Drosophila melanogaster: one gene and its partners. The protein of the gene in region 2 interacts with the protein of the main gene of each other region in a pairwise test. Each region holds a gene or a part of one and is shown on either strand. Other genes may lie near its edges.

The links. Proteins that work in one complex are often made in the same cells at the same time.
Region 1: the proteins of CG5532 (region 2) and CG13887 interact in a two-hybrid assay, tested with the Drosophila melanogaster proteins (one large-scale study listed by BioGRID).
Region 3: the proteins of CG5532 (region 2) and CG13299 interact in a two-hybrid assay, tested with the Drosophila melanogaster proteins (one large-scale study listed by BioGRID).

What each region holds. Positions count from the first base shown.
Region 1 is NT_037436.4:835,992-840,602, reverse strand, and holds CG13887 (uncharacterized protein), read right to left. Parts: upstream 2,743-4,611; 5' UTR 2,483-2,742; coding exon 1,979-2,482; intron 1,501-1,978; coding exon of another isoform or gene 1,450-1,500; exon of another isoform or gene 1,354-1,449; coding exon 1,171-1,353; 3' UTR 672-1,170; downstream 1-671. Other genes in the region: JMJD5 (jumonji domain containing 5), read left to right, coding at 1-545; CG13901 (uncharacterized protein), read left to right, coding at 3,152-3,820; CG42554 (uncharacterized protein), read right to left, coding at 4,050-4,611.
Region 2 is NT_033778.4:23,750,782-23,754,094, reverse strand, and holds CG5532 (uncharacterized protein), read right to left. Parts: upstream 1,342-3,313; 5' UTR 1,266-1,341; coding exon 1,190-1,265; intron 1,131-1,189; coding exon 868-1,130; 3' UTR 580-867; downstream 1-579. Other genes in the region: CG11300 (uncharacterized protein), read right to left, coding at 1,673-2,146; CG12491 (uncharacterized protein), read right to left, coding at 2,937-3,313.
Region 3 is NT_037436.4:6,231,134-6,234,352, reverse strand, and holds CG13299 (uncharacterized protein), read left to right. Parts: upstream 1-1,991; 5' UTR 1,992-2,028; coding exon 2,029-2,089; intron 2,090-2,152; coding exon 2,153-2,430; 3' UTR 2,431-2,548; downstream 2,549-3,219. Other genes in the region: CG42714 (uncharacterized protein), read left to right, coding at 315-348, 409-576, 632-735; BG642312, read left to right, coding at 1,432-1,516, 1,581-1,729.

The DNA of each region.
Region 1 (4,611 bases), on a different chromosome or scaffold from region 2:
CCAACTATGCCAGCGATGAATGGTCCCAGCAGCTGGTGAAGATCCGCGACTTCCTGAGCAGACAATTCGGAAAGGAACCAAGCAAGGCTGGCCAAAATATCGAGTATCTCGCTCAGCACGAGCTCTTCGCCCAGATACCAGCCCTCAAAGAGGATATATCCATTCCCGACTACTGCACCATCAGCAACGAAGATACCCCAGGAGCTGTGGACATCAAAGCCTGGCTGGGACCAGCTGGAACCGTATCTCCCATGCACTACGATCCCAAGCACAACTTGCTGTGCCAGGTATTCGGTTCGAAGAGGATCATCCTAGCTGCTCCTGCAGACACAGACAATCTGTATCCCCACGACAGTGAGTTTTTGGCCAATACAGCGCGAATAGATGCTGCTCAACTGGATCCTGAAACATATCCCTTGGTAGCCAAGGTGAAGTTCTACCAGCTGCTCCTGCAACCTGGTGACTGTTTGTACATGCCACCCAAATGGTGGCACTATGTGAGATCTGAAGCTCCTAGCTTCTCTGTAAGCTTCTGGTGGGAGTAAGCATTTTAATGCAGTTTATTGAACAGCAAATTTATGTAGGATGATCTCTGTTCAAGTTAAGATTAAAGTATGCACTGCAAAACCACGATAGATCACTAAATATGCGAATTTGATTAGCATTTCTGGGTAATTATCAAGGAAACATATTCGATGCCCTTTTCGCACACCGATAATGTAACGCCTCCGATTTCTAAGCTCCAAGTATGCAAACAGGTTGCGACGTCTGACGTCATTGCCGTGTACTATCAGACATGATGTGGACTATCCGCGCCAACAGATGAATCATCGAATCGATCACAACTGGATGGGTACTTTTTGGTTGTTCTTTTAATAGCCACGACGCTTTTTGGGTGTGTTACTGTGGCAAACAAAACTTAACACATACGAATTAAATACAAAACTTCGGACGAAACGAACATTGAGTTGAGGGACCATTATCAATATACCCCATTATCATTATCAAATGGTATATGTAGTTGTATCTATGAGGATTAACAATAAGATGTGTGTGCTTTCTATCGATTTGAAATCGTTATAATCTTTTAAATGTGCCTGCTTTCGCTGCCCCACCGCCATGCTTATAAGTCTTATCGTTATTTAAATGTTGGACTTGGCTCCAGTGAGTTTAATCATCCTTGTTTCCGCCTCCGCCGATGGTTATCTTCTTCTGCAGCTTGCTGTACTCCTCGGTGAGTCGGTCGTACTCGCGGTTGATGCTCTCCGCCTGCGACTTAACCGCCTCCTTGTCCTTCTTTTCGCGATTCAAGTCGGAGGTTAGCTCCTGGACGCGCTCGCGCAGCTTGTTGAGCTGCAAAATTCGGATTTCGTTTGAGTTTCGATTGGATTTTTGTTCGTTTTGGGTGTTTGGGAATGGATATAAGGTGGGTGCTCTAGGTGGGGATACTTAGGACACTCGGGCGGTGAGTCCTTGCACACGTCTCCGCAGTCTTGACAGCTGTTTAAAGAGTTAACAAGAGGTTTAAACTTTCGAGTGGTGGCTTCTGTTTATCGTGGCCCAACATATGTGTTTGGGTGTGGTTTCAAAACGTTTAGCTGCGGTCAAAACAAAAGCACTAAGCCTATGACAAATTCACTCGGTCTTCAAACTGATTTAAGTTTACGTTTAAGATTTTAATCATGATATATACTGGTATTTAAAGTTCTATATCGTTAATAGACTACATTTAAAGCCTTTTCGTATCTTATATTCAAAACCAATTGAGAAAATGTACCAGAAAGTGGAATGAAGTATAGATTTTATAGATTTAGTCGGCTAAAGACATTATCTCGCCATATTTTGACCACACCTTCTATATGCATTGCCATATCTTTACAGCTGGTAGTAGCCAATTGAACTCCAAAGTCTTAGGTGTTAGCTCTCTAGACATGCCATTCCTGGGGATCGGATGCAGGGGTTTGGGACGTGGACTCACCTCGATGAGAGTGGTATCCTCGCCGGCTTCCTTGGCCTTCTCGGTGTTCTTGTTCTCCAGCAAGGAACGTGCGGCTGCAGTGGCGCTCTGTGCCTGCTTGAAGGAAGCCTCGCTCTGGGCCATGAGATTGGCCTGGGTGCAGATCAAGTTTACCAGTCGCCGGATGACCAGGGCAAGGAAAATGGCGAATCCAGAGATGTAGAAGTTCCGCTGGGCACGGAACAGCTTCATGCTGTGCTGCATCTCCACGTTCAAGTGGACCTCGTTAGACTGCTGCAAGCCGGAGTACTTGCGCATCTCGCGAATGGCCTCCAGGAGGAAAATGACCAGAATTCCCATGATCAGCAGGAAATATATGTGCGCCTGTTGTCCCAACATCGATAGGAATTTGGACTTGAAGAACCGGTTCCAGCGGTAAGGAGTGAGCACCGGCAGCACCAGCAGAAGGACCAGTGCGATTTCCGCATAGAGAAATCCGGCGATCAAAGTCCACACCAAACTCATTTTTAATGTTTTATTAATTCCCTTTTTCGTTCGATTTTCGCTTCTTGGATTTTCGCTTTTTTCGACTGCCGCCTGTAAGCAGAAATGCGTCCAAATTAGCTGCTAAGTCTACGGATTCGGGACGGACGGTCTAGTGGCTATTTATAAACTACGGCCGGAGTGACTGGCTGCTTACTTTAAATAGCAATAATTAAATCGCTGCCGTGATGAAATATGCGTATATTTTATGTAGTCACTGCGCCGGCCACGTCAACTCTGTTTTTTTGTGTACGCACGGGGCTGCCAACTCGCGCGCTGGAATCAACTGTAAATTGGGTAGCCAGAAAAAAGCTGAATTCATGGAAAATATTCGAATTTCAAAATCATTTTATTAGTAAGTAAAAAAAATGGCAAGAATTAGTACGTATTTTGCATTAAAATTAACCATTACCTCCAAATATTACAAGACAAATCGATCATAAGGTATTGTATGTAATGCTTTAAAGTGCCTTGGTAACCCGGCTTGCGATGTAAACAAGCTGGCAGCTGGGTTGCCAGGTTTCCATCGCAATGTGCTTCTCAACAAATTTTCAACTTTGCGCCATCGATCAAATTTTCTGCCCCGTTCAGTTGTTATATTCGAATCTCCGGCGGAGACGTGTGCCTAGGTAATCCCATCAATCCCCAGAGATGTCCTACCAGAACTGGCTAAACTACCTGCAGGCGGCGGAGAAGAACTCCATGATAAGTGGCCGCGCCCGCAAGGTGCTCTACAAATTCCCGGACGGCAGGCAAATGGCCGAGGAGTACAACATGGACACGGGAATCGTGCAGCGGCGGGCCTGGAAATCGAAGAGCAACAAGATCATGGGCGAGTCGGAGTGGGAAATCGAGCTGGGCGATGAGCCGCGTCAGTTAAACTGGTCGGGCAACAAGCCACCAGGATCTGGCGAGGAAACGGACTCCCTGGCCGGCGGAGATTTCACCCTGCGGGAGAGCAACACCGCGCCACTGCTGACCAAGCGGATCACCAAGAAGAACATTGAGTGGCGCATCCGCAACATGCCCTACTCCCTGGACACATACAGCGTAACCGCCGATCCCGAGAAGCGTGCCATAGTCGTGCGCACCTCGAACAAGAAGTACTACAAGGTCATCCCGGTCCCGGAACTGGACCGCTGTGGGGTCAAGCCCGCGCAGGAGAGCCTCTCTGTCCACCACCAGTTCAACACGCTGATCATTACCTACCAGAAACCAGATATCCTCTGCGAGATGGAGGCACAGGTGCTGCTTCTGCTCAAGAATGTCGACACCGAAACCGACATGGATGATCTGCTGAAGGGTCTGATGGCCAAATAAACGACTTAGATTGTAATACACAAAGTATTATTATTATTATTATTATTGTGAATTAACCTAATTTAATTTATTTAGAGAATTCCCAAATACACTTCACAAAGGGAACTGCACAAAACGTTGAAATGAAGAACGTGCCTAAAATTAAATCCTAATCACCACTCAGCGGGCACTGCATTACCACGAGATCTTTCAAATTAGTTGAAGTTTTACAAATGGATCTTAACCAGGCCTATTTCTGGAAGCTCTCAGCCATGCCGGCATAGCTGGCCAACGAAGGAGCCGAGGAGCTGGTGAACAGGCTGTAATCGAAGGAGGGCAACTCCAAGGGCGCCAAGGATGGCAGGTCCAGGTCTCCACTGCCCGCCAGCCGCTGATCGCAAGTATCGTGTTCCTGCTCCTCCTGGGCAGAATCGCTCTTCTTCAGCGTCTCCATATGGGGCTCCGAATGGGCCAGTGTGCTAGAGGCCTTTGCCACCAAGGAGGAGGTGAACTTGGCATCGAAGTCCTGCACTGTTTTGTCGATTGCCTTGGCCACCGACTGAGCGGATCCTCCTGCGCCTCCACTTGCTCCGGCTTCTGGTCGCAGGGGCAGCATGGGACTGGTTTCCTTCAAGGGAGCATAATCCTTCAGCTTGTTCAGACCATGCTGCGTCTTTCGCATCTCAATTTGACGCAGTTTGCGCTGAAAATCGAGGGTCAATGTGTCCAGAACTTCCTTGGATTTGGGCAGAGCCACCCGTTTTTGGGCATCCTGCATGTAGATTAGGGATGTTTCCAGCGCTTTAATGGCC
Region 2 (3,313 bases):
AGCAGCCAGCAATGTTGTTATGTTCAGTACACGCATATATTATGTAATCTAATTTAATGCAAAATGCAAACAATTTTGTAAAATAGTACATATAATTCTGTAAAAACTTCATCTACACATGCACGCACTTTCGGCAGACAACCTAAATTATTTCTTGAGCCACAAATCAATCGAAAGGAAATTTAATAATAATCCCACTTTCCAATGTGATAAACATATATAATTTGTACACTCTACTTAACAAATATTTATCGTTTCCTGTTGGGAAAATGCTAGAAAGGTGGAGAATCGATAATATACTTACCTTGCCGCACTTTGCCTGCAGAAAACTCAAATTATTCACTTCATTATTGTAATAAACTTGTTAGAAGCCTAAATTCTAAAAAAAAAAAAAAATCCATCACTCTACGTTTACCTAGCCTAATGCTCTTTTCATGCAGCAACAAAATGTAATAGCTAAGTTTTAGTTGTAGTTAACTGAACATCGTATAATAGATGAAACTGTAAATTTATCACACACACAAAAGAAACAAAAGCTAAGTTAAACAATAAATATACAAAAAAAGATTTGAATGTACGAAATGGTGTATTTCTGTGCTTCTATGCGAACTGTCATACCAAAGTGCCTGAAAGTATGCTATTAAATGTGACCAAGTATTACAATTGAGTACAAAGAAGTCCACAAGTTAAAAGCATAGGTGATAAAATATATTTGCAGCAAGTACAGTTCCTAATCACTATCTTAGAAAGTGACACAGCGCATTACCAAAGTTCCAATCACCGAAAAGTAGAAAACCTATTCAATACGAATGAAGAATGAAGGTAGGGCAATCTCCTGGCAAGTCCAGCATGTGGCCGGAAATTAGCCTAAGGGGCCTTTGTGCCGGCGGGCATTAGGTAGCGATTATAGGTGGCCAGGTTCTTGACCAAGGCGGCCACGGATAGCATGCACACCATTCCGGCGGGCATCAGTTTTCCGGATCGGTTCCAGCGGGCGCCCATCAGCCCGGCCAGGAACAGGGAGGTGCCCAACTGGAGCAGGGGACGAGGCGTGTCCTGGGAGTTGAGGTGGGCGCCATAGCCGAGCAGGGCTCCGAAGGCCAGACCAGCACCCAGCGAGGGAATGGAACCTGGAATGCAGGGCGTTGCACAATCGGACATGACCACGGTCAGGGGGCTGGTCACTTACCCGCCTTGGCGTATCCCATGATTCCTCCGGCGGCGACCGTGGCTGCGTACACATATCCGAACCAATCCACCGGCATTTCGATTTATTTTGATTAAATTTCGGGGTAACCTTTGTTTTGGTGAGAAGTGGAGGTGTTAGTATGACCCTTCCTGCCTTAGTAGAAAGAAGATCCGCTCCGCAGTGCACGAAATTCAGACATCTGGCAGCACCGTTTCGCGGTCATTTTGAATTAAATATGTGCAACGAACTTCCTAATCAGAATATTTATTTCAATGTTTAGAACGCTTCTATTCGAAATATTCATTGCAATGTTTAGAAAGTTTGTTGGGCAAATATAAGTTAGTTTACTAATGTATGCATTACAAAAAGAGCGATGGTTCCTCTAATTTAAAAAGCCATTCAATACATTTATGTTTTTTTTAGATTTATTGCATTTCTGTCTGGAATTTTATTTCAAATTCGTAGCCAACATGTTCGTGAATTTTACAATAGACGACGGTGACGGTGTACACGGCGAACCACTCGCCCCTGACCACCACCTCCATTCTGATTACTCTGGTTGGCCTGACGCCTCTCGCGGCGGAGCTGACGCCTCAGCCGGCGCAGCCGACGCCTGAGCCTAATCACTTCCTGGCTGCTGCTGGATCCACTGTCACTGGGCGATGTGGGCGTAGCTGGTGATGTCGAGGAAGCGGGCGCATCAGGAGTAGCTGGCGAGGACGGTGTTCCAGTCGCTGGAGTTGGCGAGGTCGGTGTACCAGCAGCTGGGGATGCTGAAGGTGGTGTTCCAGTCGCTGGGGATGGTGAGGGCGGTGTTCCAGTCGCTGGAGGTGGCGAGGTTGGGGTTCCAGCCGGTGGAGATGACGCGGGTGGGGATCCTGCCGCAGGTGGAGAATCGGCGTAGGCAGTTGCTATTAGGGCCAAAAGCCCAAAGGCGATAACGAATTGGCAACGCATCTTCAGCTCAGTTTGTCACTAAATGGAGTACTGTGTGGATAGTGGTTTAAATCCGAGTATTTATAGGGATGATCCACTTGATTCGCTTTAATTGTCGAATCTGTGTTTGCTTTGAATGTTTTAGAGTACATTTTACGTTCTCGTCAAGACAAATAGATTAAACTCAATAAAAAGACGAGACTATCTTCTCTGTAAGCGCGAAAGCTGTTGATGGCTGTGGAAAGTTCTAATTCGTTAGTAATTAAACAAAACGGTTTTTTTTTGGATTGGCTGGCTGAACGTATTGTTAGCATGTGTGCAAACACGGTACATTGTTTATTAAATAGATGAATATGTATTGTTAAGCCTTTTGAACAGAAAGCCATATTTAAATAACCTCTAAGCTTAAATAAAGATTAAGATGGCATATTGTACATAAAGAATGAATTCTCACTAAAAGAAAACTTAGAACAAACTCCTATTTTTCACTTTCATTTGCAAGTTCCTAATCGATTAAGTTATCATCTGGAATTATGTCTGCACTTAGACCAGTTCCACTTGATCAACTAACTAGATCGGAAAATGATTTACTTAGGATTCTTCATTAGAGTATATAGTGTAGCCTTCTTCTTCTTTTCCAAGATGAAACCGAATATTGAATTTCTTTGTTTGACTAACAATTCGATCCAAATGATTTCACTTGTTTTTAAGGTGCCAAGTTACCAAGTCATAACTACGATTGTTGCTTTTGTGTATGCATTTATTTTTCAATTTGGACCATTTCATTGTTCGATCGGGTTAAGCCGATGGTTTATCCCCTACGTTGGCGCCTTCTTCCAGCACGACTCTGCTGGCGCCTTTCCTGCTGCCTCTCCCGGCGAATCTCCTGGCGCCTCTCCTGACGCCTCAGCCGCCGGAGCCTGCGAAGCCTGCGCCTCAGCCTGTCCACCTCCTCGCTGTCGGAGCTCGTGGAGGAGGAGGACGTGTCGCTGGACGTGGAGGGGGCCGTGGTTGTGGCAGTCGTCGATGAGGTGGAGGAAGTGGGCGAAGTGGAAGAAGAGCTGCTAGGAGTGGAGGACGAAGTAGACGTAGTGCTATTGCTGGACGGAGTTGAGGTGGAGGACGAAGAGCTGGGTGTCGAACTTGAGCTGGAAGTCGATGGAGTCGATGAATTGGAAGTGGGTGATG
Region 3 (3,219 bases), on a different chromosome or scaffold from region 2:
GTTGTTAAATAAATGAACATATAGATAAAGAATTATCTTAAACTTTTTCACTTTAGCAGGATGGCAAAACAAAAGTTTGAGGTGTGGGATCAATCTATATCACAAATTATTGTGACATGTATCGGTACCTTAATTCAATTTACGGTGCTTGTGTTTTATCTTATCTTTTAATATGGCAAAATTCGTTCATCGTTGTTTAAATTTGTGATAAGATAGGATAGTAAGCCTAACCGTTTATTTTTATTCACGCCGATCTTAATTAGTTGCCGCATTGCTATTTTTCATTTCATAGCGAAAGGTATTAGTTTTCCAGAATGAACGCAGTTGGCATTTTCATAATATGTCTGGGTGAGATTTTTTAAGTTATAGTAAGTAGTGACTTTGTAAAGATGTCCTTTCTAAAAACAGCATGTTCCCTTGGAGCGAATATTCCTCCAAAACCGTGCCAAGTGGAAACAAATTGTGGTACGGTGAATGAGACAAGTTCCATTTGCGGATTGGATGAGGAAATGGGTTGTATACGAAAATTTCCATCCAAGTGTCATTTGGATATAGCATTTTGCCATGAAGGAAAAAGTAAGTCCGATTATTAAACTTTAATCTCGCATATTATTAAATTATTTCATTTCAGATTTCACCGACTTTAATGAGGAATATTGCTCAATGGAATCGTATCTCTGTGAGATTTCACCCACATACGAACGCTGGACCATTTTCTTCGGGCATGAGAATTAATTCTAATTGAAAGTGCGAAAATTTGCTGCATTACGCTTATATAACAGAATTTATCTGTTTTCAAATTAAATTTTTTTCTCATTTCTAGAGTATTTTTACATAATATGAAATTAGTCCCGCATGATTGAAATGTTTTGGTTTAATTTCAACAACCAGAAAAGGGGAAAGAAAACAGCGTATAAATAAGAGAATTTGTGGGTATAAATATCAGTATACATTCTTCAAGACAGAGGAAGCCCTCTCTACGAACTCAGGACGCTCTTCTTTGGCCACCAGAAAGAGTGAGTGAAGACTTGGCTAATCGCCGACGACATACGTGTAAGTTCATTAGGTAGCATTTCAATAAACAATCAATCAACGCGCAACGGGCCATTCACGTGCCAGGCGACGTTGACTACGTCAAAGACCGGTAGGAGGTAACCGATGCCCAGCAGCGTTTTTTCCCACTCAGTGAGACAGAACGACGCCTCGAGCCTTTTATACGAATCTTAATTCGGATTTTTTGTGATCTTTTTTTATATTTGAGTTTTTTTTCTTTGCGTTATTTTTGGGTCTTCGACGGGTGCTTTGCATAATCTCTCGCCGCGGCGCCAATGCCCATTGGCCTCCTCCTTCAACGCCAATCAGTGAAGAGCTCCAGACTGGCACACTTGCACATATAAAAAGTGGACCCAACCGAATTTTGCTTGTCAGTTAATGCCCATCAATCGAATCAATCCCAGCACAGCCATGAGAAGCGCGTCGCTTAAGTTCTATCTGATATGTCTGCTAGTTATCTGCGGTTAGTGTTATTAACTAAAAATGTTATGCATCAAATGCAATTACCTGTGTCCGAATTTTTGCAGTGATCGGTTGGAGTGCTGGAGCACCGAGTCCGCAACTTTCACGTAAGGAACTCGAGGATCGATATCGACAAAAGCCCCCGGTGCCTGATGAGCGAGATGCGGATGCAGAATTGGATAGTGCCTACGATCGGAATACCCGAAGACCTTGAAGTGCAAATCTGAAAGGCTGGAGACACCCAACGCCCACAATTGATTTGTGGTTCTGTGTGGAGTGCCACTTTTTATGTCGTATTCAGGGTTATGGCTATGTAGTTCTAAGCTTAGGCAAAATGTACAAGCGTAAAATAAAGCAATTACTTGGGTGAAACGTGCGCATCGTTACTTTCCATTCTATCACGTAGAATGTGGGGCGACATCCGACGTCGGCTGGCGTCTATAAAATATGAACTCTCTGGCATTCGATTCAGTCAGTTATCAATCTCCGGCTAGTGCGAAAAGTACAATCAAAATGACCTCAGAAAGCAAGATGGTTTTGCTCTTCCTTATCGGATGTCTCGTCATGCAGACAAGTGAGTCACTGGATCATCTGGTATCATGACATTATTTTAAACCTAACTGCATTTTCTTTCAAGTCAACGCCCTGCCATTCGATAGATTCAGCCAGGAGGATGACGAACGGAACAACGAGATCAGCGGCGAATGGTTCAAGAAACCCATCCTCAGGTTCGATCGTCTTTTTGCCACCGAAGAATCACCGTCGGGAAGTCGGAAAGAAGTGAGAAGGCCCAGCAGAAGCGACAAGGGTGAAACCACGGAGAGCTCCAAGCACGCCCACTCCATGATCACCTCCATGCTCGGATTCGTGAGCAGTGTCATCAACTTTGGCAGGACCTTCATAAGGGATCAATAGAAAATATCCTAGTCCATCTGGCACATTTCGAGATTGCATTTTCCACATGTTGTAGGTTTAAATATTGTTGTTTAAATATTGCTTAAATATTGTTGTTCCAAAATAAAAGATTTGGCTTAAAACTATCAAGTATTGGATGTTAAAGAAAGCTTCTCTAAATCCTTTCCAATTTTCAACCAAAATTAAATTCAGCCTAGGTGTTACAATTAGAGGTTTAAAACAGAGTATTTTGAAGACCCATGGTTTAAATACTCACCCGCATATAAATTTCTCTTTAATCCATTCCGTTTTATAAAATTCATCTGTGTAAAGAAGCTAATTTTAATTCTTATTCATAAAATCAGAGCAAATTTACCAAGTAGCACTCAATAAGCTATAACACCGGCGGATTTTTCGGTTGCCCTTTAGGCTAACCATATAAAAACCCGACGGAGATTTTGGTGGATCCCACTATAAATTCTCTTTAATTCGCAGAAACAACCCAGAATTGCCTTTTTTAAAACTTAATCCTTTCCTTCTTTGCTTAATATTAAATTTACTCTTAACATAAATTACTTTTCCCAGCTGAAACTTTTGTTTTTCTTTAAATTTTTCCATGAAGCTTCTTATTTAATAAGATAAACACAAAATTACCATATTTTGTTGATAATTTAACTTAATAGTGGTGCACAATTAATCTTTTGATTACACTTAATATATTTATTTTACAGCCTTACACAGCTGGAAGATTTTCACAATTTTCGAATTTAAAGTATAATTCATTTAAAAAGTAAGCGTTCAAACAATTTT